Diceros bicornis minor: one gene and its partners. Each later gene encodes a partner of the first gene's protein in a complex. Links are inferred from orthologs where the notes say so. Each region holds a gene or a part of one and is shown in the gene's direction. Other genes may lie near its edges.

Region 1 (7,968 bases):
GACTTTGTCAGTTCCTAAGTTAAAATATCTTAATAGTTTCTCTCACTGAATAACTGAGCTCTTTGAAGGGTTTTAGTCACTGTGGTATATCAACCAGAGGAGGTCCTGATTAAATACTGGTTGAAGAAATGAACAATTAAAAAAGCCATTTTATTAAATGGTTTTTTTTACACTTACAGAGTCTTTAACAAACAGTGCCATCCACTGAAGAACTAAGAGGAAATAATTTTCCTGAAAAATGAATATTACAGAGCAATTGAAAAAATGAGAGTTGTTGGTTTACTCTTTCAACAAATACATATTTATCATCTATGTACCAAGCACTATACTTGGCATTGAACTATATCAAAGAGACATGGTTTGGATGTTTCTAGAGCTTATAGTCTAGAGGGAGAGATAGGGATTAAACAAGAAAACCTGCAAATAATTAAATGATCAAAAATTTTGATAAGAGCTACAAAAGAAAAAATACATAGTGAATAAAAGGGGTACCTATTTGGGATTGTGTAGTCAGGGAAGGCCTCACTAAGAAAATGACATTTAATCCGAGATATGGAAGATGGCCAGAGCGGGTAGAACTTTCCAGGCAAAAAGAGGGCACAGGATGTGTGAAAGCCTTCATGTGGAAAAGAGCTCAGTTTGTTGGAGGAACAAAAAGACCAATGTGGCTGGATTATAATGAGCAAAAAGGAAAGAGACCGATGATGTTGTCGGTGAGGTAGGTAGGCTTTTCCATAGATACTGTATTTTATTGTAAGCACAATTAAAAGCCACTGACAATGTTTTAAATAAAGGAGTAGCATACTCTGATTGTATTTTAAAAATTAAGCTCTAACAACTAAGTCAAGAATTAGCTGGAGGAGCAAAAGAATGGAAACAGAGAAATAAGCAACTATATTTGCTAAAAACAAAAATAGGAAAGTCATCAGGGCTCCTAGCTATGACTGCCTAGCTTGTATCAGAACAGTTCTCCTGCTAAGAACAACCAGAAGAGCCTGGTAAAATATTTTTTTAAATGTTTTTTTTTTGAATTTTTAACTACGGTAAAAACACATAATATAAAATTTACCCTCTTAACCATTTTTAAGTATACAGTTTAGTAGTGTTAACTATACTCATATTGTTGTGTAAGAGAGCTCTAGAGCTTTTTTTTTTTTTTGTGAGGAAGATCAGCCCTGAGCTAACATCTGCCAGTCCTCCTCTTTTTTGCTGAGGAAGACTGGCCCTGAGCTAACATCCATGCCCATCTTCCTCCACTTTATGTGGGACACCGCCACAGCATGGCCTGACAAGCGGTGCGTCTGTGCGCGCCCGGGATCCGAACCCGGGAGCGTGAGCGTGCGCACTTAACCACTACGCCACGGGGCCGGCACCATAGAGCTTTTTCATCTTGCAAAGCTGAAACTCTATACCCCACCAAACAACTTCCCATTTTCCCTCCCCTCAGCCCCTAGCAACCGCCATTCCACTTTCTTTTCCATGATTTTGACTATTCTAAATATCTCATTTAAGTGAAATCATACAGTATGTGACTGGCTTATTTCCTTCAGCATAATGTCCTCAAGGTTCATCCATGTTCGTGCATGACAGAATTTCCTTCTTTTTAAAGGCTGAAAATGTTCCATTGTATGAATATACGTTTTCTTTATCCATTTCTCTGTGGATAGACATTTGGGCTGCATCACCTCTTGGCTGCACTGAACACGGGTGTGCAAATATCTCATTGAGATCCTGCTTTCAATTCCTTTGGATATATACTCAGAAGTGGATTATATGGTAATTCTAATTTTAGTTTTTTAAGGAACCTCCATATTGTTTTCCGTAGAGGCTGCACTATTTTATATTCCCACCAGTAGTGTACAAGTGTTCCAATTTCTCCACATTCTTGCCAATACTTGTTATTTTCCGGGTTTTTTTCTTTTTTGATAGTAGGCATCCTAATGTAAGGTGATATCTCACTGTGATTTTGATTTACATTGCTCTAATGATTAGTGATATGAGCATCTTTTCATATGCTTGTTGGCCATTTGTATACCTTTTTTGGTAAAATGCCTATTCAGGTCCTTTGCCCATTTTTTTTTAATGAGATTACTTTTTTTTTTTATGGTTGAGTTGTAGGACTTCTTTGTATATTCTGAATATCGACCCCTTTATCAGATATATGACTTGCAGTTATTTCTCTCCCATTCTGTAGGTTGCCTTTCACTCTGTTGATTGTATCCTTTAATGTGCAGAACTTTTAAAGTTTGGTGTAGTCACCTTTGTCCATTTTCGCTTTTGTTGCTAAAAATATTTTTGAAGGCACTGGAGACCTAGGACAGTGAGGATTTGAGGAACTGAGATTCAGGAGAGAAGGTCCAGAGAGGTGAGCCTGACATTTGGCACCACATTTCACCTCAAAGCGTTTGCCAATTTGTAAGTGGCAAGCTGAGAATCCAAGAGGCTGAGTAGCAGAAGCAGTAGCTGAGAGGTTGAAAAGATGAGCAGAGGTTTGGCAGGACCTGTCAAGCACCCCTGCAGGGCTACACTGTAGGATTAAGATGATACGGCATAGAACAGCCCTCACAAAGATAGAAACCCAGCTTCAAATCACAACAGTCCTAGACTGGATTGAAGTAATCTGCTTCTACTCTAATAGCCTTCCAGAAGAAATAGTAATCCTCTCTGGAGGAAGGTAACATCATTCAGATCCTTAACTTATCTCTACACGTTTTCATACATAAAGAAGAGGATGTACTAAAAAATTTAGCAGGTGTATCAGGAAACAAGACCAAACGATGGAAAATCAAGAGAAAGAAAAAAAAAAAACAAAAAACAACAAAACATCAGACAACAGAAAAGAGACCCACAGGAAATCCAGATATTGCAATTATCAGAAAAGACTTCCTGTATGTAGAGGGCTGAATAATAGGCCCCCAAAGATGTCCAGGTCCTAATCCCCCAAACCTATGACTATGTTACCTTACATGTTTAAAGAGACTTTGCAGATGTGATTAAATTAAGGATCTTGAGATAGGGAGATTATTCCGGATTATCTGAGTGTGCCCAGTGTAATTACAAGGGTTCTTATAAGAGGAAGTCAGGAGAGTCAAAATCAGTAGTAGATGTGATGACAAAAGCAGGAGGTTGGAACAATGTGCAAAAGCTGAGAAAAGCAGGGAAATGGATCCTTCCCTCAGGGTCTCCAGGAGGAACCAGCCCTACCAACACCTTGATCTTAGCCCAGTGAGATTCATCTTGGAACCACTTTCTTGTCTGTTTGTCTGTTTTTTCATAATAATCTCTGCATCTAGCACAGGGCCTGCTACCTAGTGGGCACTCAAATATTTGACCTGCAGATCCATGGGCCTCAGGGAATGCTCTTCAAGAGATCTTTGACCTGTGTAGGGGAGGAAGATAATTATTCTACCCTGTAGGTCCTTCTGGCTGGTCTAAGAATTAAATTGACATGAGACAGAATAACAGGAGAAAATCAAACAAAGCTTTATAACATGTATACAAGGGAGAAACCCAGAACAGCTGAGTAACTCGCCAGAATGGCCAAAGCTGCCACCTTAAATACCATCTTCAGCTAAAGACAAAGGCGGATGTTGAGGGTAGTGGTTTGGCACTTCAAGGGGGAGGAAGGTAATTTACATGGAGATGGAAATGCAAATATGGAAAGGCAAAAATGGGCCAACTATAGACAATGTGACCTGAAAGACACATTTTACATTACACTACAGTTATCTTATGATATTAGCTCCTTCCTGGAACAGGCCCTTCTATTTTAAATTCTTATAGGCGGTTAGGGGGAAGGTCAAAGTTTCTTTCAGAGTCTTTTGTTCTTAAAAATAATCAAGCCAAAGAGGCACATTTTGGGGTGGCCATTTCTGATCTCCCACACCTGCTTTGATTAAATTATTCTTTTTGAAAGAAAAAAATTTTTGAAAAGAAAGAAAGAAATTCACTTTCTAATCACCAGCACATACTCCTTTCCAGTTCACCACTGCCCTGTTTGGTGTGATTTGAGTTCTCTTTCTATGCATTTACACGCACATATGTACATACACGTTTATATAAAATATAAACATAACCACAAATACACATTATTCTGCAACTACCTTCTGTCAGTTTCTCATGCCTCTATAAATCTATTTCATTTCTTTTAACAGCTATTTAGTATTTCATAGTACGGATGTATTAAACTTTATGTAATTATTCCCTGTTGATGGACCTTTAGATCATTTCCTATTAGTATCTATTTGAAAACGTGCAGCAATGAATATTGCCGTGCAAATATCTGTGTACACACTAGGTAACACAGATCCCTATTTGCGGAAAAGCCAGTTAGCAGGTAGGAGCATTTTAGAACACACTTAAACACCACTTCTTCTGCCCTCCCGCCTTTTTAAGAGGAGGGGTGGAGAGCCGGTGAGTGCAAGGTAAGCAGAGTAGTAAAATTCCTCGCTGGGGTCTCCTCTCGCACAGCGGTGTTTTCTCAGGAACAATCCGCACAGGACGTGCAGGACGAGAGCGCCGGGAACTCCGGTGGAGGCCACAGGGAGGGCAATGGAAACACCGGCCTCTTGCAAGAAGCGCCTGGACAGCGACTTCCTCGAGGACCACGCCTTCTGTTAAGCCCTCACCCCATTAATTTTGTCCTTTTTAGACAAGACTGAAGGAGCAACACCCCAGGTATTAAAAATGGCCTCGAGACAGCAGGGCGAAATTGCAGGTATTCGTGTGGCATGAGAAGACAAGGGGACAAGCGCAAAAGCCCAAGAAGAAACGGGAGGACACGACAAGGACCGCCGCCACCGCCCCCATGGCGGCCGCCTCCGGCCACCGCGGAGGACTCGCTTTCCCAGCGGCCCCCGCGGCAAGCAGGGGCATTCAGCGCGGCCGGCCCTCGCCAGGTGGGTGGGGCCGGGGCCGGAAGTCACGTGCTGTGACAGCCTCCGGGGTGAGGCCGCTGTCGTCGTCTGGGCTGGTTTGGACTGTGACTGTGGGACGCGCCGGGGTGATGGCGGTGGAGACTCTGTCCCCGGACTGGGAGTTCGACCGCGTTGACGACGGCTCACAGAGTAAGGGAGCGGCAGGGCCAGGGCTGCGGACGGACGCTCCCCGGCCCGCCTCAGCCCTGGCAGCGCTCCTGCGGGAGGGCTCTGCGTCGCGGTCGCTGCGCAGCCGTCCGTGTCGGGACACTTGCCGCCCCTTGGAGTGGGAGAGGCATGCGCTGTCGAGCGTGGCTTTCGGGAGTTGGAGGTCCCAGTAATGGCGGGTCAGGCTGGCCCGGTCTGGGCTCGGCGTTCGGGGCGGCGACTGTCCTGGGGAGCCTGCGGTCCCCGGGGGGCGCGGCGTCCACTTTCTGCCGCCCAGAGGGAGGCACGGGCGGGGCGCGTCCGGGGAGGCCCGGCAGCATGGGCAGCTGAGGCTGGCTCTTGTCTTGCCTCTTGGGGGCTTTCGCCGGATCCTCCAAGCGTTCAGTTCTACAAGAGGCTGAGATCCGAGTTCCTGTTTCGGTTTCCTGTTTTTCTTCTTTTCCTCCCAAAACAACTGTCGGAAGTTTGGCCGTGTTTTCCTTCTCGTTCGTATAACCGTAGAAGATAGCGAAAAAGAACTCTTCACATGATAAAAAATAAACACGTGAATGTCAATTTCTCTCCTTCCTTGCCTTTTATTTACGTTAAGTGGTATTTTTCAGGGATATCCTGTAGTTTCCATTGCAGCTAGAAAGGTTTCAAAAATGACAGCAAATCTTCTGCAAATTTTCCTTCGTAAAATCAAACTGATTTTCACTTACAAGTCCAACCAAAAGAACCTAACAAATTCAGTTCCACGCAGTAAAATTTAGAGGCCATCTAATTATTTCAGTGAGACTCTATTTAAGATTAATACAAGTTGGCAATCTGTTTCTTATCTTGATGATATTAATCTGTATAAGTGATATAAGAGATATTGGGATATACTGCTTGTGAATTTGTTTTTTTAATGCATTTTTCCCAAAAGGTGAATGTAATTTTAAAAAATTACACGTGAGTTTTGCTTAATTTTATAAAGAAAGACTCGTATACAAACTTAGATATAGTTAGGTTTTATAGCCTCTCAAAGAAGCATGAGCTTAATTCAGAATGGTTTGTAGTTTTTCACAAAACTTTCCGTGAGATATTAGCTCTTATGCAGCATAAAAGACAATCTTGGTGGTAATGACAACATTTAATTATTTTATAGAGAGGGTTCTGTGTTTACTGTTATAAAGTGAACTGCTCCTTGTCATGTATGAAGTTTTATGGACGACAGTTCTCCTACACTAGTATCTTCAGGAAATTGGCATGAAAATATGTTACTGGGTTTGAAAATGGTTCAACTTAGAGCAGAATGATCTGAGTCACTCCACGTGTTCTACATACCAGGCACTGTGCTAGGTATTAAAAGAAAAAACAAGGAATGCGTGCTGTTGGAAGAGATAAGCATGTAAACAGGTGTCTGGAATTTTACTCTAGAAGAATCACCATGTAGTTATTTCAAATCTTTTTTTTTTTTTTTTAACCAATTTTACAACTATTCATTATCTTATCAGCAAGGATAGTTTTATTATGGGTTATCTGTTGCCTACTGCTTTGTGAATTCTCAGACAACCTAAATGAGTAATTTATTGACGTGTTTTTCTAGTATTGTTAAAAACTCAATTGCTGGTTAAATGCAGCCTTGGTCGTTTCCCACGTAACTGATAATTAGACATGAACTTGGAATTCTGAGAGTCTTAGGCAGTTTTTAGTTTAAGTTGTAGGGAAGAGAAGGCTTCTCATCTCTTCTCTGTGCCTGGTTTTCATTAATTTTTGCACTATGAATCATATCTAAACTAATTGTTTTTCAAAATTGCCTAGATTAATGCTGTAATGAGATAGGAACCTTGATGAACTAAACTGATCTACCTGATTCAGAGCATTAGTTGCAAAATAATGGGGAGCTAGGTCTTTATCTTGAAGGAGTCAGAACATACTTTATCTTAGTTGCTTCACATTACTAATTTGAGGAGAGAAAAATTTTACTGTTTTTTTTGGAAGGCGAAGATTGAATAAAGTTATTCACATCAATAAAAGAAACTGAGTTGGAGTTGAATTTGCTGCCTTTGGAATAAGTAATGAATTCTTATGTATAGGGTGGAATATTTACTTTCATTAATTTTGGTGAATAGGCCTACCTTTATTGTCCAGTTTTTTCTAATGACTCTTTAGAGTCATCTCTTAATGGGTAAATTCTGTAAATATCAGCACAATATTCTGCACTCGGTGTTCTTTACTGGCTTTTCCAACTTTATGATTATAGTTAAATAATTACAATATCTCGGTAAATTTTGGGTATTACAGGAATAATATTCATTATGATGAAGCAGGTCTAAACTCATTTTAAAAACAATATTTAGGTGTATTTTTAAACGGTTTACTGTGTATAGAATTAAGAATTATGTTTTTAAGTTTTGCTTCTGTGACAACATAGCATCTATGTTCTATGACAAGATTTTTGCACCAGAATCAGGTCATGAATTTTTTTTTTTTTTTTTTGCAAAAACGTTGTTTATGACTAAAGCATAGAATCAGGACACTTGAGTTGCCTGAGGCATTATTCAGATTGTTTAAAAGCCCTAGATTATGGGGTAAATGGGATAGTGACTTTTTCATGATACTTTAAAGTTATAGTTTTAAGATGCTATCCCTGTATATGGTAACACCTACTGCTTTTAAAATTATTTTGTCTATTTGGAAAAGATTGAAACCTGAATTATTGTTTAACTTTGAAACTTTATTTTCAGGAACTCCAGACATTCCAAAGTAATATATTTAACAATGCTTAGTGTCTACTTTGCTGTGACTTTTGAGATTATTTGAAATAAATGTCCTGTAATTCATTACTTATTCTTCTCACATGCTGTTTTAAAATTTAAATTTAGAAATTCATGCTGAAGTCCAACTTAAGAATTATGGG
Region 2 (7,734 bases), about 2.5 Mb from region 1:
TAACATTTGCCCACATAATACCACCTAAGAAGGTTTATCATCACTTGTCTGACAATGTTTTCCATGTAGTTTAACATACTGAATAAGCCTAATAAGTTTAGTATCTTTCTCTTTATAGGCAGAGAGCAAATTTTTTTGAGAAGTTCCAGGGCCCTTTGAAAATTCCCAAAGAAAAAAAAGTAAAAGAAAGACTTTATTTAAGATATGAATTTTGGGGAGCTTGTCAAAAATATAAAAAGTCAAAGCAAACAGAGCGTTAACAGTCTAAAAAGCCTTAGTAGAGAGACCTCAGTCTTTTGAACACAGGAAATTATTTTAACAAAACATAGATTTTCTGTCTTTTAGGTAGATTTATTCAAAGGTAAAGAAAAATCTTTTATAACCTCTTTATCAAGTTTAAGAAAATTATCCTTTTAAGAGACAGAAGACCAAATTTTAATTTTGCACCAGCTTACTTCTGCTATTAAAACTCATTTACTTAATTAAATTCATTTTAATCTTAGCCAACTAGACCATACAAAAACTCTTTTTCTAGAATTCCTCTTCTACAAACCTTCTATAACTTTCTTTTTACATTCAGAATTTGTCCCATGTCTTTTTTTTTCCTTCTAGCACTTGAGGACAAATTTATCTTTTTTAATCAATCAAACAAAATATTTTTATTCTTTGTTCTTTCTTTATACATCTTACTTTCCTTGTACACAGACATATTTTTTTTAATTTTTAGTAGCTTCAATCACACATATTAATTAGAAATTTTAACCCTTATAGACTTTGACTTCTAAGTAAAAACTAAGTAAGCAGTTATAAATTTTTTTTTTATATTAGCATTTTGTGGATTGGAAAATTTATGAACACTTTATAACTTTTAGAAATATGTTATTTTATAGTACAATCTTTTAATAAAACACATGTTTACCAATAGACCCAAAACACCTTTTAGTTTTCCTGTAATGAAAAGCCAAATGTAGACAAACGTAAGTTTAGCAATTAATGTCTAATATCTTATCTTATTTGGAAATGATCTACTCAACTGAATTTTTATCATAAAATTTAGCAAAACTCTAAAGTTTTAAGTCACCAAAAAGAGTTTGGAAGCTGTAACTACTATAACACATAATTATTGTTTAAAGTTCATCCAACATTTATCTTTTTCACAACTATTTACTTGTTCCCAATAATTATTTAGATTGCCTATAAGACTTTATAAGACATCAGATAAAATTAGCCATCATTTAAATTACTATTTTTTTTAACCAGTTCTGTAATAGAAATAACATCAGTTTTTTTCCTACAAAATTTCATGTAAATTTCATCACCTCTTATACCTTTAGACATAGTTATCATTAAGATTTTTACCAGTAGGTCTTGGTTTTCTAATTTTGGACAAGGGAAGCATTCCCAGTCAGACATTTTAAAACATACTCAGGCAAAGTTGATGTAACCTCCTTATATAAAATTAGTTCAAACATTCCAACCTTTATAATCTTATCAACACTCACACTTTTACATGTTCTCAATTCAATTGTAACCTGAGTCAAGGTCTTAAGGCTAGTCAAATTTTTCCCTTCTTTTTTCTGGCCTTTTCTTAGGTACCAAATAAATAATTATGTGAGAGCTCTCAAAACATTTTTTTTCCCCCAATTTAGAAGTTTTTTCAATTCAAAGGATCCGTCGTCTGGCCATTGACAAGTAGGATCTTCATGTGTATATTTATTCCAATAGTGACTCGAACCAATAAGCCTTTTTAAGGAAAGACCTGGAGGTAACTTTCTACGCTTAGAATAAATCTACCATGGACGCAAGAGGCATCCCTGGTGAGGGCGCAGATGATGTAGCCCCCATGATCCACAGAATTTACTCCCAAAGATATTCAGAGATAGTAAAGACCTTTGTTGCACAGGCGGTAAGGATGGTGTCTCCGGTCTCTCACAGTAGTGTGGGACGCCTCCAGTCACAGACTCGCTAATCTGTGACACGGGGCAGGCGATACTGGAATGGGATTTTTCTAGTACTAACAAGCAACAAAGGTTAAGACGACAAAAGCCCTTATGGACTGGGCCCTTTATGACAAACTCCCCTGAGAGCTTGGCACAGCCGGACAAAGAGACAGTTCGGAACCCCAGTCTACTTGACTGGCCACCAAGGTGCACTCGGGTAAATGCACCTTCTGTCTGGTGGAGACCAAGGAGAATATTCTCACTGGTCACAAAGCCAAGTTTTCTCAGGACACAGAACAAGACAGAAGGAAAAACCTCATCTGGTTTTTTTTTTTTCTTTTTTTCTTATGTACACAAAGACAGCTTTAGCCACGCCTTAGGTCTCTTGGAGCCAGAATAATACCTAGCGGGGGAGGTGCCACGGGGTTGGGGACTGTGTGCTTTACAGAGTACCTCGTCGTTGCACGGACTTTTTTTTGCAGTTGGCGGGGGACCTGTGTCATCTACCCCGTTCCGTGACCCAACTTATCCTGTCACGGGAGTCTTCTGAAAGTGGCGAGCGCCCTAATGGCTCTTAACTGCTCGACCCGTGCCCACCAAATTTGCGGCCTTTTTGGCTTCCAAGATGCCCTCGGCAATGGCCTTCACTTCATGTGCATAATAACCCACAGCAAAGTTTGTAGACGCCGGTCTGGTGAGACCCGCAAACTCACCAGTCTGTGGGGCCGGCCCGGACAGCAGGCTTGTAGGGCCTATGCCTGCGTCCTACCCTATGGTATTTCTTTCTTATGACAAAAGACACAGACAAAAGAGAAAAACAGAGACTACCTCTGGGAGGAAAAGGGATCAAGATCAAAACCAAGAGTACTCTACTAAATTTAAACCAAGAGTCACTAAAAGCACAAGAAACTAGTTTCCCAAATATTTTCTCTTGCCAATCTAAATTTAGTAAGAGAAAAAATTCTCACCATTTTTTTCCATTACACTCCGCAGATGGAGATTCCGGGAGGCTGACGTGGTAAGAAGTCTTACCTTTTGCCGGCTTTTGTCAGGCGTTCCCGTATCTCATCATCTGTAGTAGTCCAGGGAGAAGGCAGGTCTTCCAGCCAGAGAAGGCAACTTGCCAGCCAGTGTGGCTCCTGGCGACTCCGCCAAAACTGTCGGGGGAAGAGGGAGAATCTCTCTCTGCCCTTTCCCTTAAGGTTCTTATGGCTGGCCAAATAATTAACAAGACAGGTTAGCAGGAGAAAATAATACCAAGTTTAATAACATGTATACATGGGAGAAAGCAGGGACACTGCGTTTCTCAACACAATAGCAGAAATTCTCGTCTTAAATACCATGTTCAGCCAATGACAAAGGAGGATTTTGGGGTTGGGGGGAGTCAGTTCCAGGAGATTACCACTAAAGCACAGCAAACAAGAGTAAGGTTATTATGCAGCTTTAAGGCCTCAACTTCCACATTGATAAGCCTCTAGAAATGAGGCCATCCCCCTCTCTTCTCAAAACAGAGAGGGAGATACCTTTACAAATGGAGATTTCTCTTATAACTGTAAATGATTGTCTGGCAACTCCTCACAGGGTCATCCAGAGAATGTGGCCAGAGACAGAACTTCTGATAAGAGGGGCTTGTTGGTGCCTTTCCTATTGTAATCTCCATCCTACATTATCTTTACAGCCATCATGATAGATCTGTTCCAGGAAGGAGCCACCATGTCAAATTCTTTAGGCAGTTAGTGGGGGAGGTCAAATGTCCCTAGAGAAAACAACCAAGGTAAAGAGATAGATTTTAGGGTGGCCAAATCTTGATCTCCCACATTACCCAGAAAGCCAAAGTCCTTACAACCACCTACAAAGCTCTACATGATCATACCCCCACATAACTTTTAGACCTCATCTCCTTCAATTCCCTACCTTGCTTGTTCTGCTTCAGCTACACCGGCTTCCAATGTGAGATCTGGGCTAGACATATAAATGTGGGAAACTCTAGAGGTTGGAGATGATGGGAAGGAATCAGCAAATGAAACAGAAGAAGTGGCCAGAGAGATAAAAGGAAAGCCATGAAAGAGTGAATCATGTCTTTCTCTGGCTCAGAATTTTTTAACGGCTCCCATCACCTTTGCAAGTAACTTTCTAACCTTTTAGATCAGAATAATGCAGGGAAGGGGAAAGGATTGGTTAAAATGCAGATTTCTAGGCTCACGCCCAAGGGTCCTGATTGTACCAGATCCAGGGATCCCTGTCTTTAAAAAAAACAAACAAAAAGCCAAAATCGGTTTCTGTAGCATTTGACATTTTCGTTCAAGTTTTAAAGCCCTTCGGGAACAAGTCTTATCTCCCACTTCGGGGCACAAACCTCTCCAGCGCAGGAGGCTTAAACTAACTCAATCTCTGTATTCCCCACGGGGCCTAGCAGAGTATCTGGCACTTAATACGATAAAAAAAAAAAAAAAAAAAAATACGTGGTTTTTTTTTTTTGATTAACGAATGGCTTACCTATTTATATAACAGACAGCATTAAGCAGGGGTAATCTAAAACGGACTCAATTTTTACTTTTGTTTTTTGCCCCAGCTCTAACATTTTACTATCAGAACCGCAGGCTTCCGCCACGCTGCGCCCCCGCGCCTGACGTCACAATCCGGATCTAGAACTACCAATCCCAGAATGCCGTGCAAAGGGGCGGGCTCTCCGGGAGCCGCCGAGTGATTGGCGAGCGGGAGGCGTTTCCTTCCGGCGGGAAGGGCCTGCGAGGCGGGGACTAGGGGATGCCTTTGGACGCTATTACCGGAGTGGGAGGGGTTTGTGCGTGAGTCTTGGGTCTCCCGCCCGCTGAAGAGATGGACGAGGATGGGCTTCCGCTCATGGGGTCAGGCATAGACCTGACCAAGGTTTGTGAATGACGGAGCTGAACTTTTGGCGACCCGGGAGGAGGATGGGGAAGGGAAGCCAGGTTCCCAGGGGACTCCATCGCTCCATGCCACACCCTGTGGCTGGCTCCGGGCCTCTCTTCTGCCGACCTCGGGAGGGAGAGTGCCAGCCTTCACCTTGAAAAGGGATCCCTGTCAAGCTGCTTAGGGGGGGTAATGTGCCTGTCCCAGCCTTCGCTTCGTGCGTCACGAGTCTGTGCTCAAGAGTGACCCGCTGGCGACATGGGCCGGTCGCGACCTCTAACCCTACCTCTTTTATTCGGCCCCCGAGTTTTTTGTGTGTTTATGTGTGTTATCTTTACCGGCAAGTTCGTACTTGCGAATCCAGAGCCCATTCTCCAACTTTTCTAAAGCCTCTCTCATCTTCGGACACCCCACCCCCACAGTTTGGGGAAACAAGTTAATGGCTATTCACAGTGCTTCACAGAACTCATATCACACAGCAAAATGCCTCGTTATTCGTATCAAAGGGATTGCACGGTGTACATTCCTCCTGTACGAATCATATTTGTTTTTACATAATACAGGTGCCAGCTATTCAACAGAAAAGAACGGTGGCATTTCTAAACCAGTTTGTGGTGCACACTGTACAGTTCCTCAACCGCTTTTCTACAGTTTGTGAGGAGGTAGGTCCTGTGATATTGGTTTAATGAGTAGCCTAGAAATCGCCTTGCATTTTTGAAGGTGGCAAATGAGTAAAACAGTCTTTACAGTATTCACATACCATGACCTCGTCACCCAATTATGTTGACATGCCTTAAATCCTCTTGGGTTCAGTTACCATCAATCCTGCATCCCACCTCTGCTGAATTAGTTTTCTAGAGGCCATTGTGAAATAGTTCGGTAAGGCTTATTGTGATTACAGAGGACAAAAAGAATTCCAAAATTTCACAGTTGAAAACATTTTTTATTTTGAAATTTCTTATGTTTCTCTAACTCCTTAGATTTACTTTTTTTTTTTTTGCTGAGGAAGATTGGCCCTGAGCGAACATCCATGCCCGTCTTCCTCTACTTTATATGGGACGCCGCCCCAGCATGGCTTGACAAGCAGTGTGTCGGTGTGCACCAGGGATCCGAACCTGCAAACTCCAGGCCGCCAAAGTGGAGCTCAAGCTCTTAATCGTTTGCGTTATTGGGCTGGCCCCCAGATTTACATTTTTAAGTACACATTGTTTCAGTTTGTATTAAAATTATTTTACATTCCTTCATCCAAAAGATGGTTGGGGAGGTAGCCTAGGAACATAACTTTGGCATCAAATATCATGGAAATAAAAATACTTTCTGCAAATAACTTGTGAAATGAGGATTAAGTACCCAATTAAGGATTAGATACCAGATCCAGGGATCTCTGTCTTAAAAAAAAAAAAAAAAGCCAAAAAAGAGAATGGGAAGGAAAATGGGAAACATGGGTTGAAATTGAGTTTAAGAAAGGAGAATGAGGGGTAAAATTAGATAATTCACAGGTGAGCCAATTAAACAGTATTGAGTTCATTTTGTCTTGTATTTGATATAAAGTATAGCCTTGGCAAGTGGAGTTTTTGTTAGATGTGTTATTAATAAAAATTGCATGGAGACAGGAAAACTATTTTCACTTGTATAAGGTTCCAGCTTCTGTTTTTATCTAGTTATCAAAATCTCTTCTGCCTTCTCACTAAGGCAAAGGAAAGCAAAATGATAATTGATAGAGTAAGGGGCTCAATTCAATATATTTTACTTAACAGGCCCAGAGAGTAGGGGGTTGCTTCCATGAGTTTTATCTTGTACTGCTGCCTCTCTAAGTGGGATGTAGAACTGACTGACTAAAGGATTTAGTCCTTCACTTTTTATATCAGGGTAGGGTGGAGAAGTATCTGGAGAAAGACTATTCCAGGATTGTTAGCAGTGAGGAGCAAATACTCCATCCTCATGCTCTTCATCACCAGGTTAAAAAATAAAACAACAACAACCAGCAGACACACCTGTGAAAGCAACTTGATGGAGCTGCTCTGAGACAAGGATAGCCCCTCACCTTTGTGGTGCCTAACGACTTTCACTGCCTGAGGAGTGAATGCTGTTTCCTGGGGACTAGATCAAATATAATAATCGTCTCTTGTTTATTGACTGCTTGTAAATTATGAAAGCCTCGTGATTCCTTCTTTTCCCCCCTTTCTGTTCCTGTCTGAACTTCTCCCCCAACTGTTTTAACTCTATCACTATTCCCATTTCTTCCCTGAACTTTAGAGAAAAGTTTCTTGACCAAAAAACTCATGAAGTTTAAAGGTGGCTTATTGCCTTTTTCTCCTTAATGGATACTCTAGGTTGACTGTAACTCATTATTTACAGTTTTTGTTTTAGCAGTTTGGATATTTATGTCAGTTGTAGACTGCTTGGTATGATGACAATAACTAGTATTTATTGTGTGCCTAGGCATTGTACTAAGTGTTTTACATGTATTTAGTCATCACAGCCCAGCCCTCTGAGAGAAGTCCAGTTATCTCTCTTTTAGAAATGCAGAAACTGGGATGTAGAGAGGTATAAATCATTTACTCATTCGTTCATTCATTCATTCATTCAATATATATTTGAGTACATAGTATTTATAGCTGGGGTAGCTGCTGTAACTTGCCCACACTCACACAGCTAGAAAGTAGCAGAGCTAGGATTCCAACTCTGATCTGTTAACTGGAAAGAACAAAAATGTCTCACCATTCTGCTATATTGCACCTTCTGATCTGAATAAGAGGCATGTTTACATCTTTTTCAAGTGAGAGACTGCAGTGTCTTCTTTATAGCTATTTCATAATTTATTATTTAGATTCGTACTCTCTTTGCTATACTATGTCCATTTGATGTAATATCTTTTTTAATGTGATAAATTCCAAGGACA
Region 3 (7,386 bases), on another chromosome or scaffold:
TCTGGAGGGTGAACTGGCCGGTCTGGGCCCGGTGGTGCTGTCTAGTAACACTTTCGTGAGAAAATACAGCAAGATTTGACATGTGATGTGGTGTGTGTGTGTGTCTATGTGTAGACAGACATCCTGGAGCACTACAAATTTCCTTTCGTGTTGGAATAAACTTCACAGATCACAAAGCACTTGGACAGCCCTTCTCTGCAGCTTTCAAAAGGAGGGAGAGCAAGCACTCAACTCCAATTTATATCTGGAGCATCCGAGGCCCCCTCAGATGACCTGCCCAAGGTGCCCCAGCCTGCCACCGTCTCCTCTATGCACGCACATCTCCCCTTCCTTGATGTGTCCTGGATACCTTAAACCGCTCAGTCATTGCTCAGGTGGAGTGAGGGGTAAATGTGTTTGCAGGTTATGTTAGTCAAAAACAAAATACCATAGCCTAAGTGGCTTAAACAACATAAATAATTATTTCTCACGGTTCTGGAGGCTGGGAAGTCCAAGATCAAGGTGCCAGCCATTCGATTCCTGGTGACAACTCTCTCCTGACTTGCAGATGGCCACCTTCTCACTGTGTCCTCATGTGGTGAAGAGAAAAAATAAGCAAGCTCTTCAGTGTCGCTCCTTATAAGAGCACCAATCTCATCCACCTTCACGACCTCATCTAACCCTAATCACCTTCCAAAGACCCCTCTCCAAATACCATCACACTGGGAGGGAGGGCTTCAACGGATGAATCTTAGGGGACACAAACATGCAGTCTATAATATAGGTGGAAACCCATCTCTTCAGCACCACTGGTGGGGACCATTCGCTGCAGCCAGCGAGACAATGAAGTGTTCTTGTCAAAAAAGACAGTTCAACCTAACTCCCCCAAGAGGAGGGGCAGGGAAGGAGGACAAAACTCAAGAGTATTAGCAAGAGAGTAGGACTGCCAGATTTAGCAAATAAAAATATCAAACACCTAGTTAATTTTGAATTTCAAATAAACAATAGACAATTTTTATATATTCGATTTTTACTGAAATGCAAATTAACTTGGCATCCTGTATTTTTCTCTTGCAACCCCAAAAGAGAGGGGCTAAGAACTCTAAGCCAAGCCAAGGGATTCCAGGAGGGACTGCTGCAGGATCTCTGGAATACTTCCTTTATACATTTAAATTTTTTAGCCTTTTTTTTTTTTTTTAACTATCTAGCTTTTTTTGTGGTAACATATACATAACATAAAAGTTACCATTTTAACCATTTTTAAGTGTAGAGTTCACGGCGTTATGTACATTCACCTTGCTGTGCAACCACCACCACCAATCTCCAGAACTTTCCGTCATCCCAAACTGACATGTCAAAGAAAACCAGAGCTGGACAGTAAAGAGGTTAAAGCTGATTTAACTCAGGACTTTGCAACAGAGGAAAAGAGATCTCCGTGTAGACCTGGGGTCAGTTCCGAATACAGAATGGACAAATGAAGATTTATAGCGGGGGGGGGGGGGGGGGGGGTTGTCCGTGGATAGAAATTGCTAAGAGCGTGGGTGATTTTCTGCTAAACTGACCCAACAGGATTCTTGCTGAAGGCAAGAGGATGTTAGAGGATGAGGAATTTGGTCAGATACGGAGGGTGACCTGATACAGACGGTGGGGCATTCCCATTTAGGATTCTCGGGATGCAGGCGGAGGCCTAGCCGGGAAGAGGCTCCGGAGGAGCGGACTAAACTCTGACCCATCCGACATAACTCCCTCCCTCGCTTTGCTCCCCCTCCCTGGGAACCACACCACTCTGCTCACCGCCTCTGTGAACGGGACTACTCCAGGTACCTTGCGCAAGTGGAGCCGTACAGTATTAGTCCTTCCGTGTCTGGCTTATATCTTTAATTTTAAAGGGGGGCGGGAACTAAGTGGACTCTGTGGGGACAACTGCCCACAGAGGCCAGGACAAGAAAGAAAGGGTGTATTATTCAGCTGAAAGATGTATTAATTCAGCGAAGTCTGTACAGCTGGAGGGAAGGGGGCGGTTCCCGGGCCTGTGCGGGGGTCGTGCCCCAGGCGCCCTGCGGGACAGGCGAGGGCGTCCCTGGAGAGCGGGCCGCAGCGAGGGCACAGAGGCGTGGGGGGGCGGCAGCGGCCTGGCGCTCGGCCTACAAGGGACGGTGCCGTGTGCACCGCGGAGGCTCGGAGGGGATTCGGCGCAGGGGTCTGCGACTCGGCGGCGGTCGCGGGCCAGAGCTCGGGGCCCCGCGAGCGCCCGGGAGGCGGAGCCCGGCCGGCGGCGGCGCCAGGATCCGGCGGCGCGGGCGGGGCGGCAGCGGGCGGCGGCGGCGGCGAGCAGGTGAGCGCGGCGCGGAGGCCCCCGAGGGCCGGGGAGGGCCGGGGCGCGGGCGGGGGCGCGCGGCGGGCCCGGGGCGCGGGCGGGGGCTGAGCGGGGCGGCCACAGCGCGGGGCCCGCGGGGCCCGCGGAGCCTGCGCCCGGCCTCCCCGCCGTCTCTGCCGCCCGCCGGGAAGCGGCGCCGGGCCTCTGCCCGCCAGGGAGACGGGCCTCCACCCCCGCAGCTCCCGGCCTTTCCTCCCCGTGCGCCCAGCCCTTCCCCCGGCGCCGTCCTTCCGCCGGAGCGAGGCCGAGGCCCGGGCGCAGGGAGGGCCCTGCCGGGACAGCAGACTCGGGTCCCCAGGCCCCCGCCCGCCGCTTCCTCTCGGCCCGCCGGCCCCGTGACCCTCACGTGACCTGACACCCTCTGAGCTCTTGGGCTTAGGAACAGGGCAGAACGGAAGGCTCGAACCCTTCTTCTGCAGCTCCCATCCCTCCCTGGTCTCTCTTAGATGACCCCACTGCTTTAACCGTGCTTGGTTCCTGACTGCCCCGGCAGAGCTTCTAACGCGGGGTGTAGACCCTGGGAGCGGGGCGTCGGGGACGCGGTGCAGGAAGGGTGTCGTGCACTTCCGAGGTCACGGGCAGCGTTGTGAGAGGCGGGGGTGGTGTGTGTGCAGTTTCCTGGAAGAGTCCTTGTTTTTACCAGCTTCTCTCAGGTGGCGCCGTCCAATAGGAATATTATGCGAGTCACATATGTGATTTTAAAAGTGAAAAGAAACAGGTCAAATTAATTTAGTAATATATTTTATTTAACCCAATATGTCTAAAATTTGGTTGTTTCAGCATGTAATCAATATAAATAAATTTAATATTTTATGTTCTTTTTTCCTACGAAGTCTTTGAAATTCGGTGTGTGTTTTCCATTTACACTGCATCCCGTTGGGACTGTCCACATGTCCAGTGCTCCGCAGCCGAGTGTAGCTAGTGGCTGCGTGCTGGATGGCTAGGTCTAAGGATTTCACTCCTGGCCCACAGGCTGGAGTCCAAACTCATGGCCGTGGTATTCAGGGTTTTACACAATCTGGCCTCATTATCTTTTTTTTTTCTCCCACTTTCACGAGGATGGTTATACCCTCACCACCCAAAAACACTTGCCATTTCCCTGCACACCTTTGTTCAAGCTGTTCCTTCTACCTGGAATTCTCTCTCTACACTCTCTCCCTGAGCCTGGGAGGGAGGGACAGCTTCTGCTAAGAGGCTTTTCCTGACTCCCCTAACCCGGGAAGGGATTTATCCCTCCTTCCTCATTGTTCCCCTGTGCTGTACTCATGGCTGGATTAGAGCCCTTATCACAGGGCGTTTGTTTTCGAGGCTGTGTCCATGGCCTGTGTAGTGTCCCTTTATCTTTGTTTTGATCGTGGCTGGCACCTAATAGTTGATGAGTAGATGTGTGCAGACAGAATGAGTAAATCACTAAGCAGCTGTGCTCAGTCTCTTAATTTTCAAACGGACCTGCTACTTTCTTGTTTAGGAGCTTTGTGCCTGTTGTTCCCCTTGTGCATGTACACACACACACACACAGATGTAGTAACTAACCATAAGGAAGGCATCTCAAGGTGTGCACAGAAGAGTATCTTCTAGCTTTTACCCCCTCTCTATCTTAGAGACGGGAAAACTGAGGTACAGAACTAAGGACAGCCAGCAAATTTGCATCAATATAAATACAAAGAAAGGGAGCATTCTTGAAAGGAGTATGTGGTCTCAGAGGGTCAGGTCCCTCAGATGGTTAGTGATCAGCTGGCCCACTTTGGTCACTTGATAGGAGGGAAGAGAAGTGGAGAGGTGAGGAGTTCCTCCTGGACCCTGATGAGGATTTTAGGCAGGTTCAGGTCTGGAAAGCTGAGGGTGTCATTGCTGGAGGAAAAAGTCAAAAAGCAGAACTGTCATCTCAGATCAGGAAAAGTGCTGGCCTGGGAAGAGTAGGAGAGAGCGAGGGTAGGGTAGAAGGACGGGCAAGGAGAAGCTAGCAGAGGGAGCAAAGGAGTAAGCCCCAGCTTGGTGAAGGTACTGGTGTGACACATTGGCAATAACCACTTCTTAGAGAGCAGTGCCATTCTCAGTCTGTAGAATGGGAAATGGAAAGAATCAGAGCTTCAGAGAAGGCAAGTGACTTACCCAAGGTCACACAGTGCTTTAAGCCCAAATGAAAACTCATAAGCCCTCCTTTGCCACACTTACCCAGCCCCACTCACACGTCTATTACAACCAGGGGCCCCAACATGGTGCCTGGAAGAACAGGTCTGGGGCACAGGGCCGGGCCTGATTAATGTCTTCCTCGCTGTCTTCTACCAAGGGGCTCTGATTAGGCCTATTTATAGGGGCCTGGCACCTTAACATTCTGCCTGGTGCGTCTCTTGCCAGTCAAATCAGTGCCATCTGCAGTGATTGCTGCTTTAGTGGCAACAGGGAGCGGAGTTAATTAAACCCAGTATAAATAGACTGTGCCCTCATCTAGAAATTCAAAGGAGTGTTTTTTCTTCCTGTCCTCTGCCCCCACAGGCCCCTTCTTCCTCCTGGCCCCCCTTGGCTCTAGCCTGGGTGAGCAGAGCCGGACGCTCCTATACCTAGAGTCACCAGCCACGGCCTGTCCTAACACAGGAACAGGCCAAAGTGAGAACCACCCAGGAGTCCACATGTTCTGTGCTTTTCCAGAGCCGGGTACCATTTGGAAGTTGAGGCAGGCAATTTTTTCCCCATGTCCAACCCTCTGCTTCCAGCCTCTTTTTCACTGTGCAGCCAGGGTTTCTTTCTTGCTCACCCGGGCTTGGGAGGTTGAAATGAGATCACACACAGAAATGGTACCATGCGCCTTAGGGCGGTCAGTCCATGTTGCACCTTCTCTGAACGCTTCTCGTCAGTCTCTGCTGTCCCTACCAGTTTTCCTCCCTCATTCACGCAACAAGCACCAACAGACTACCTGCCCTGTGAGCTCCTGGCCTCCCACCAAATGCTCTGTCCCCCACTCTCCCGCTGCACGGGCCGAACCTGCGGCAGACGGTTAGGGCGAGGGGCTGTGCTCTCTTCTCCCGGTACCTTGCCCTGTGGTGGGTGGGTGTGGGTGAGTGTGGGGCAGTCCTGATGCTCCCGTTCCCACCCACAGGCACCATGACTCCCATGATGACCCAGCACTCGTTGGCAGGTCAGACCTATGCGGTGCCCCTCATCCAGCCGGACCTGCGGCGAGAGGAGGCCATCCAGCAGGTGGCGGATGCCCTGCAGTACCTACAGAAGGTGTCTGGAGACATCTTCAGCAGGTGGGTGCTGCCACCCACCTTCACCGATCGGAGGGCCGCCCCTGCCTGGGCAGCCATCTCTCCATTCCCAGGAATGCCCCCTCTAGGAACAGCCCTTTGGGTGATTCTCGGTCCTAGGGGACCCAGCTGGCTTCCCTGTGCCCAAGGGGCGCCCAGCTTAGAACTTTGTCTCGTAAGAGCTCACTACCTACTGCACCACTTAGCCCCCTGGCTTCCCTGCAGATCCCCAGGCCCCATGGGGGTACTCCTCTCCCAGCTCATACTCTTTCTCCCAGTGGGGGCCCTGTTCCTTCACTTATTCCCCTGCCAGCAAACACTTATTCAGCACTTCCTGTGTGCCAGGCACTGTGCTCGCCTCTGTAGTCACAGCAGTGGATACGGCCACATCCTGTCCTGCCTGAGGATGGACCCTGGCAGGAGAGACAGACTCTGTCCAGTCAACTTCATGTTAGTCATTGAATTACAGCTGTGATAAGACGGATTTATAATAATTTTGTGATAACTAATATTTATATAGCATTGACTGTGTGCCCCCAATGATCGGAGTGCATTAACTCATTTAACCCTCACAACAACTACGAGGAGATGCTGTTGTTATGTCCATTTTATGGATGAGGAAGCTGAGGCACAGAAAGGCTAAGAGACCAGCCCGGGGGCAGAGCCAGGGGTCACACCCGGGTGTCGTGGCTCCCGAGTCTGGAATTATTACTGCCTCTCTGTAGAAGACAGTTGTCAACGGGGCGCCTGACCTGGCATGGGGGGTCAGGGAAGGCATATATGGAGAAAACATGTATGGTAAAATCTGAAGGGTAGGTGGGAGTTACTGTGAGTGGGTAGGTTCCAGAAAGAAAGTGAGGCATGAGGTAAAGCCCTGAGGTGGGAAGGACCTGAATGGCAGCCAGTGTGGCTGGAGCGAGGAGGGGCTGAGGGGGTGCGTGAAGCTGGTGAGGTGGGCAGGGCCTTAGAGGTTATGGCCAGTCTTGAGCAGAGTGGCAGCGTTTTGTGTCACCAGCACTGATCTAGCACAGTCCTTGGGCTATAATGATTTTTCATTCCATGTTTATTTTATTTTATTTATTTTTGTGAGGAAGATCAGCCCTGAGCTAACATCCGTGCTAATCCTCCTCTTTTTGCTGAGGAAGACCGGCTCTGAGCTAACATCTATTGCCAGTCCTCCTCCTTTTTCCCCCCAAAGCCCCAGTAGATAGTTGTATGTCATAGTTGCACATCCTTCTAGTTGCTGTATGTGGGACGCGGCCTCAGCATGGCCGGAGAAGCGGTGTGTCAGTGTGCGCCCGGGATCCGAACCCCGGGCCGCCAGTAGCAGAGCGCGTGCATTCAACCGCTAAGTCAGGGGCCGGCCCCCTGTTTATTTAATATGAATGAATGGTGTTGCTGTTTCCTTGCAAAGGTCCCGCATTTTGTCCTGTATACAGGTCCATAAGCAACCTGAGATGGGGCTTAGAGCTTCTCCTTGCTGGGGGCCCACGCCATGCCTCACCAGGGGTCTTTTATCCCACCCAGTGGGAAGCATTTGACTGCCTGACTGAGGTCCCTCTCATGTGTGGCCTAAGTCACCCCCACCCTCCCCTTCCTGTACCGAGATCAGGAATGCTTCATGCAGTCTCCTCCTTCACCAGTCGTTCGTCCACCTCTTCCTGGAAGCCTTCCCCAATGGGAGTAGAACGCAGGGTCACTGTCTCCAGTTGAACTCGGTACAAACACTAGATCCTCTGACTCTTCTGCCTCTGACCTGCCCACCAACACACCTGCCTGCCT
Region 4 (7,283 bases), on another chromosome or scaffold:
GGGATGGGAAAGCTGTATGGTAGCAGAAAGAAGGTATTTTCTTAGAATCATATAGACAGAGCACGAATTCAGGCTCTGTCACTTTACTACTGAGTGACCATGGGCTGATTGCATAAACCTCTCTGAACCTCAGGTTTACTGTCTCTAAAATGAGAAGGAATATCACAATGTGGTCCAGCACACAGTACACAATTAATTAGCATGGACTTGCCCTCCTGCCCTTCCTTTCTAACATGGGAAACTGTCTAGTATCTCTGGCATTTCCATCCTCTCCATTGCCACCACTTTTATCTCACACCTGGAGTACTACAGTAGTTTCTTAACTATTGGCCCTTTTCAATTAGATTCATTCATTCATTCATTCAACAAATAGGTATTGAGTGCCTTACCATGTCAATCATTAGACTCTAAAAAAGACACAGGGTATACAAAGGGAAGGGCATAGAAAAGATGCCCATGATGCTGATCTCTATTTTTGAGGTTTTAGTCTATTACAAACATCCACAATACAACTCTTCTTCAATTCAAATCATTCAGTTAACAAATATTCAGTAAGTAATGTTTTGGAGCATAACGTAGAGGGTCTTAAGTGCAGGATAAAGAATCGGTCCAGTTGGGTCCAGGGGGGCAGTCAATGGGACTTTTAGCTTTATCTGTTTTTTAAAAATTTATCTTAAAAATCAAGAACTGAAACAAACATGGCAAAATGTTATAGATATTAAAATCCGGATGATAGAACAGGGTTCTCATTATGTTATTTTCTGGGACCTTCTGTGATGTTAAAATTCCACACCAAAAGAGAGAGAAAAAATATGACTATGAATACAAATGAGAAACCATTGATGATTTTTGAACATCTGCATTTTGGTGAAAGAGTATTTATTTACAGTCTCACATTATTACACCAAACAAGCTGAGACAGTTAACACAATATAAATACAAATATATGCAGTAAGATGGGAAATATATAATATAAATGCATGAAAATCAGGATGGAAAACAAACTAAAGGGGAAAACAGGTAAAGAAGAAAATTTTTACTACATGTGTAATACAAATTTGGCTATGAGCTTCCTGACAATCAAAGCAAAAAGTGAAAGCTACAGAATCCTCTTTCCCCATAAAGAAAAAGTACATCAGGAACTTGGGAAAAATAAGGCTTTCCATGGCAATCAAGGCAGTGTGGACCATCATATATAAGACAATAAAACTCATACTGAAAAATATTCTCAATAATATCCTTACAATAAATGCAACAGTGAGCTTCCTAGGACTGTTTCTTAGGTTATTCCTCAGGGTAAGCTAAAGACAGGACACTTGGGGTAGATACCAGCTCGGTGCCCACCAAACCCATTTCCTCTTCAATCTGGTTATACAGCTAGACCACAGTTTGCAGCCTTCCTTGCAGTTAGCTATGGCCATATGACTGAATTCAAGGCAATGAAATATGAGCCATTTCCAGGCCCAGTCTATATAAACTTTCTCCACACTCTTTCCCATTTGATAGCTTGAACAGGCAAGCACAGTGACCTTAGATGCTCTATACTGAAGATGGAGAATCCCTAGTTCCTATATCACTGCTTGGCGGAAAACTGCCCGCCAATCAGGCTCCACGCATGAAAGAAATAAAAACTTCAATTGTGCAAAGCCGTTTAGGTTTTGGGGCTTACCTGTTACAGCACCAACTGTTACTCAAAAAAACACAATCCTGCAAGAATCAAATCATATGGTTCAAGTATTCAGTTTTCTAGTCAGTCTTGATTCCAGTTTAAGTCTAAATTGTCTAGGGCACTAGACACGTGGTTATCATGACTGAGGAACTGAGTTTTAAATTTTATTTAATTTTAACCAATTTAAATCTGAATAGCCACATGTGCCTAGTGGCTACTGCACTAGTCAGCACGGTTCTAGAGACACAATTATCCAAGTATACCATATATATGAACCATGGGGTAAGCAAGAAGGGGCAAAGCCACAGAATAAACAGGATATGTTTCCTGGAATATCAATTTTACCTAAAGATAACATGAACCATCATTAGCTACATTACAGAGCAGAATATGAAGGCAATACAGAGTAGGGGTTAAACACCCAGCCTCTGAAGCCAGAGTACCCGAGTTCAAAGCCTGATTTTGCCACTTAAGTAGCTGAAAGACTTTAGGCAAATTATCTAACCTCTCAACGCTTCACTTCTCCCTTCTGTAAAAGGAGGATGATCCAGTGGCTACCACAAGGATTACTGTGAGGATTGAATGAGTTAATATAGATAACAACACACTAAGAACAACGCCCAGCACATAAATCTCATCTTGTGTCTCTGATTGTGTCTCTCCCCAAGCTGACTAAGACACAACGTACACAAGGATTAATACAATCTGGGATAAATGGAAAGTGTCTACCACATGGTAGCTATCCTTATTATCTGAATTCATAATTCACATTACTCCAATGAAACTTTATACTTGCAGAGAGCTAGGGAACACACGGTCACTGCCTTCTGTGAGTATATCAACGGAAACGATTCAGATAAGAAGCAAAGAGAATGGATGGGGCACAAAGATGGAGTAGACACACTTTTCCCTATTTCTCCCACAAAGTACAGCTAAGTACATAAGTCACAGGACAGCCCTCACAACAAAGAATTATGTGGTCCGAAATATCAATAGTGCAGTAGTTGAGAAACTCTGGTTTAAATCAGCCTCCTCTTGGAGCCTTCCCAGGTGGCAATCAATGATCTTTTTGTTCCCTGTACCTATGGTCTCCAACAAAGTTTAAAACAAGGTTATGCATTTCCCCAGTTTTTCCCTAGCATGTTATTTTGCCTCCCGTAAACAGGCCTTGCCTTATGCCATCCAGGCTGCAGTAATAAAATACCACAGTCTGGGTGGCTTTTAAACAACAGAAATCTGTTTCTCACAGATCTAAAGGCTATAAGTCCAAGATCAAGGCATGGGTTCACAGCCCATGCCTTCTGCTCTTTGCCTTCACTTGGTAGAAGGATCAAGGGAGCTCTCTGCAGCCTCTTTCATAAAAGCACTAATCCCATTCCCAAGAGCTCAACCCTCATGACCTAAGCACCTCCCAAAGGCCCCGCCTCCTAATACCATCACACTGGCATTAGGATTCAACATCTGAATTGGAGGCGCACACACATTCAGACCATAGCAGGTCTATAAGATTCTCTGCAGGCAGGACCCATTATTGGCTAATACCATTTCTTCTCTACTGTTCCCTCCTCTTCTCTGTCTGTACAGCACAGTGGTAGGCACAGAGCAACCAATTTATAGGCACTATGCCCACCTCCTTGGTGGGCATGGGAGTCCGTACAAGTTCAGCCAGAGCTGTAGCTCCTTTTTCAAGATGCAGGAACACATGTTTCTTGATGAAGCCTTCCCTTATCTATATAAGCAATTGCTTGTTCCCTCCCTTATGCTGCCACTATTCCTCTCTCCCTCTCTCTCTCCTTCTCTCTCACGCACACACTTCTATTAAAAAACTCAATAAAACTCATCACAACTCTTTGCTCACATGTCTGCCACTCCTTCACCCTGGGAGCAACTTAAACTAGAACTCGGACATATTCTACAGCATTTGAAACAGCTCCTGACACAAAATAGACGATCAGTCAAGATCTGGCCAGAGTCACAACAATAACAGCAACCACCATTTCCAGATCTCCCACGGTGTGCCATAAACCGGTGCCCCCGGGCTTCATTCTCATTGTCGCTAATCCTCACAGCCATTTACATACGAGAAAAGGAAACGGAGGCCCAGAGAGTTTATTTAAACGACACGCCCAAGGCCCTGCTTTTAAAGACAGTCCAAACCAGATTTATTTGGATCAAGAATTCGTCATCTTTTCCCCACACGTTTAGGGCTGAAGGATGGGCAGATGGCGTCTCGGAGAGGGAGGTGAACTGTCCCAGCCTCACTGCTCTGGCGTGAAAAGAACCAGGACCATAACCCAGGTCGACAGACCCCAGGTCAAGGCACCCGCGGAGCGCCCGAGAGGGAGGCGACACCTCCCGCCGCCCTCCCCATCGCCAGCCCCCGCCTCTGCCTTACCTGGCTGCCCGACCTAGCTCCGTCTGGCTGCACCCCGACTCCCCACACCCGGACCCCCACTCCTTCCTTAACTCCCTGCCCCGTCGCTGAAACTGCGAGCGCGGGCTCCGACGTCATCAGCCGTTGCCCGCGAGTGGTCACATGACACCCCGCTCTGCTCTCCTCCCCTGTGGTCATGTGATGGCCCCGGGAGCCAGGGGCGGAAGCCGGGTTCTGGCCGGCTTGCGATCCGGGGCTGGAGGTAGAAGACCCCAGCGGAGAGGGAAGGGTCGGGGACTCCGGCGCTGACTCCGCGCACGATCGCCGGCCCCGCGCGTGCGCCCTGGCGCGGCCCGGGTGACAGGTGAGTCCGGGCGGGGCGCGCGTGCCCCCTCCTTTCACGGCCCCCCTCCCCTCCCCCGTCCCGGGGCTGGGCCGCGCTGGTCCCGCGGGCATCTGCGCGTGGAGTGGGGTCTGGATGGGGGAGCCTGGCGTGGAGGACTGAGGGGCTTCCTGGGGCTGGGGCTGCAGCCCAGCCTCTTCATCTCCACTTAGATGGAAATAATTTTCCACGCCGCTGTGGCGCTTTAGGAAGTGATGTTCAGCTGCTTGACCCGCATCTGAGCCTTCCAAGTTTTCGGAAGCAATGCTGTGTGGACGTCGTTATTCCTCTCTTTACTCGCGAGAAATCGGAGTGGTTAGTGAGCGCTTTTACAGTGTGAGGGACCTGGGTTTGAATTCTAGTTCTGCCATGGGCTGTGAGTTTAGGCAAGTCATTGCTCCTCTCTGCACCTTAATTCCCCCACCTGTGACATGCTGGTGCCAAAGTCCTTTGCATTTCGAAAAAACGTTCCGAGGGTCCAGATTTCACTATGGTCTCACAGTAAAAAGAAAAAAAACACACCTCACAGAGGCCATAATGGAATAGGGTCTCCTGATTCCAAGTGCAGGGAGCTCCCTCCAATGTAGGTAACGGGGGTGAGGGGGTGGGAGAGAGCGGTTTTACTGCCTCTGCCCCCAACAAGGACACTTTCCGGTTTTTCTTCTGTTTTTCCTCATGAATCAGCTGATAGTGATCAGACTCATTTCAGAACTTTTCTGGAAAAGATATGTTGGTCACTTTTATCTTGATCAACAATCATCATATTTTGTTCCTGATAATGGATTTGTGGAGGCCAGTGCTTCCTTCTTTATGGAACTGAGGTTTTATGAAAGGATAAAAATAGACCTATCTTCTTTTGACCTCTGAGTAGGGTAAACAGTGCTTTGTCCTAGGACAACTTATTTCCTTCAGAATTTGGTTCTGTACTCATTGGGTAATTGGTGTGATGATCCCGTGCTGCATTCTTTTTTTTCTTTTTTTTCTTTTTTGTGAGGAAGATCAGCCCTGAGCTAACATCCATGCTAATCCTCCACTTTTTGCTGAGGAAGACTGGCTCTGAGCTAACATTTATTGCCAATCCTCCTCCTTTTTATCCCCAAAGCCCCAGTAGATAGTTGTATGTCATAGTTGCACATCCTTCTAGTTGCTGTATGTGGGATGCGGCCTCAGCATGGCCAGGGAAGCCGTGCGTCCGTGCGCGCCTGGGATCCCAACCCCCGGCCACCAGTAGCGGAGCACGCGCACTTAACCACTAAGCCACTGCCGGGTGCTTCATTCTTGAAAGCATATTGTCCTTTGTCCAGGATTACTTTCCAAACTGAAAACTACAATTCCTTACCAAATTCTTGAAAATAAAGTTATGACCACCTTTCTGGGTACCTTGTAAAAGAAAATTAGGAAATTGAGTTTGGTCTCTGGCTTCATTTTATGCCAAATAGTGATACAGTCTATACTGAGAAAATTGGTCTTTATGAATTTTCTTCGTCCCTAGCACCAAGAGAACCTCTAAGAGGAAGATTTAATATAGCTTCTTCTACAGTGTTTATTTGCACCTCATTTTAGAGTGATTTTTTTAAAGCTCAGCTAAGTCTTAACACCTTCTATGAAGCCACCTACCTCTGAGAGGGCTGCAACATGATTAGGCATCTCTAATGATGGTTCTTAGATTTTGTTCTTTAGGGCCAGTTTTTCAGCCAACAGTGGGGCTGTTTACCAAATACTCTAGTCAGATAATATTTTGGAAGTTGCCTACAATGTAACTCTGGAGTAAGGATTTAAGGATTAAACTAAGAGATGGATACACCAAAGTCTTGACTAATGTCATTATCTCAGGTCTAAGCTTCCCTGACCGTGTGTATGCAGATGCTGAGTACATCTGTCCATCTGTTTGTTGGGAAAGAAAGCAGGTAATGTTGCTTTGCTTTGAGCTGTTTTCTCCATGGCCTCATTGTCTGTCCTATACTGGTGTCCAAAATCTGGTAGCAGTTAGACCTGTTAATCATACCTTACCCTCCTCTCAATTGAGTCTAGGGTTTCATCCCGCTGAGACCTGGGTTGGTTTAGTATTCTTCAGAGGACCTCAGTAGGTGACTCTTTTGCCCATTGTTTATTATTTTTCCCCTTTTCCTCTCTCATTTTCCAAGCCAGACCATATTAGTGCAAAAAAAATGGTATGAAATTATCTGAAATTTAGCCTGTTAGAGATCAATGTGGCTTAACAAGCAAGCATCACAGAGAAAACTAAAAAGAATTGTTAATATTTTATGCCTTAATGTGTCTTATAGGATACCCTCATGAGAGAGAGTTCTAGACAACTGTAGTGGCTTCTCAGTCACAATCAGACCCAACCCCATCCACCTTCCCTGATCTCTGCTTCTATCCCTTGCTCACTCTACAGCAGCCATATCAGCCTCTTTGCTATTCCTTAAGTGCATCTGGCACATGTCGGCCTTTGCACTTACTTGTAACCTCTGCCTGGAATGCCTTTCTCCAAGATCATTATCTATTGTAAAATAACAAACTACCCCAAAACCTAGTGGCTTAATAAACATCTATTATCTTATAGTTTCTGTGGTTAGAAATCAGGGGTATAGCTTAGCTAGGTGCCTTTGGCTCAGGGTCTCTTGAGAGGTTGCAGTCAAGCTGTGAACAGGAGCTGTTCTCTTATCTGAAATCTCAACTGAGGTTTTGGGGATCCATTTTCAAGCTTACTCCAGTGGTTGTTGGCAAGCTTCTCCATCCCTTATCACATGGGCTCCTCCATGGCTCTCTCACAATGTGACAACTTGCTTCCCCCACGACAAACAAGCTAGAGAGGGTGGCCAAGCCAGAAGTCAGTCTTTTTGCAATCTAATCTC

What was found.
Region 2: WASHC4 (region 1) and WASHC3 share a complex: the UniProt entries of both Homo sapiens proteins name them as parts of the WASH core complex. The link is inferred for Diceros bicornis minor from reciprocal best matches to the Homo sapiens genes WASHC4 and WASHC3.
Region 3: WASHC4 (region 1) and WASHC1 share a complex: the UniProt entries of both Homo sapiens proteins name them as parts of the WASH core complex. The link is inferred for Diceros bicornis minor from reciprocal best matches to the Homo sapiens genes WASHC4 and WASHC1.
Region 4: WASHC4 (region 1) and WASHC5 share a complex: the UniProt entries of both Homo sapiens proteins name them as parts of the WASH core complex. The link is inferred for Diceros bicornis minor from reciprocal best matches to the Homo sapiens genes WASHC4 and WASHC5.

What each region holds. Positions count from the first base shown.
Region 1 is NC_080764.1:18,841,508-18,849,475, reverse strand, and holds the start of WASHC4 (WASH complex subunit 4), read left to right. Parts: upstream 1-4,957; 5' UTR 4,958-5,005; coding exon 5,006-5,066; intron 5,067-7,933; coding exon 7,934-7,968. UniProt on the Homo sapiens protein: Acts as a component of the WASH core complex that functions as a nucleation-promoting factor (NPF) at the surface of endosomes, where it recruits and activates the Arp2/3 complex to induce actin polymerization, playing a key role in the fission of tubules that serve as transport intermediates during endosome sorting.
Region 2 is NC_080764.1:21,323,042-21,330,775, forward strand, and holds the start of WASHC3 (WASH complex subunit 3), read left to right. Parts: upstream 1-4,722; 5' UTR 4,723-4,778; coding exon 4,779-4,829; intron 4,830-5,395; coding exon 5,396-5,494; intron 5,495-7,734. UniProt on the Homo sapiens protein: Acts as a component of the WASH core complex that functions as a nucleation-promoting factor (NPF) at the surface of endosomes, where it recruits and activates the Arp2/3 complex to induce actin polymerization, playing a key role in the fission of tubules that serve as transport intermediates during endosome sorting.
Region 3 is NC_080756.1:58,683,343-58,690,728, reverse strand, and holds the start of WASHC1 (WASH complex subunit 1), read left to right. Parts: upstream 1-4,385; 5' UTR 4,386-4,986; coding exon 4,987-5,011; intron 5,012-5,453; coding exon 5,454-5,607; intron 5,608-7,386. UniProt on the Homo sapiens protein: Acts as a component of the WASH core complex that functions as a nucleation-promoting factor (NPF) at the surface of endosomes, where it recruits and activates the Arp2/3 complex to induce actin polymerization, playing a key role in the fission of tubules that serve as transport intermediates during endosome sorting.
Region 4 is NC_080760.1:40,396,436-40,403,718, reverse strand, and holds the start of WASHC5 (WASH complex subunit 5), read left to right. Parts: upstream 1-4,271; 5' UTR 4,272-4,407; intron 4,408-6,258; 5' UTR 6,259-6,332; intron 6,333-7,283. UniProt on the Homo sapiens protein: Acts as a component of the WASH core complex that functions as a nucleation-promoting factor (NPF) at the surface of endosomes, where it recruits and activates the Arp2/3 complex to induce actin polymerization, playing a key role in the fission of tubules that serve as transport intermediates during endosome sorting.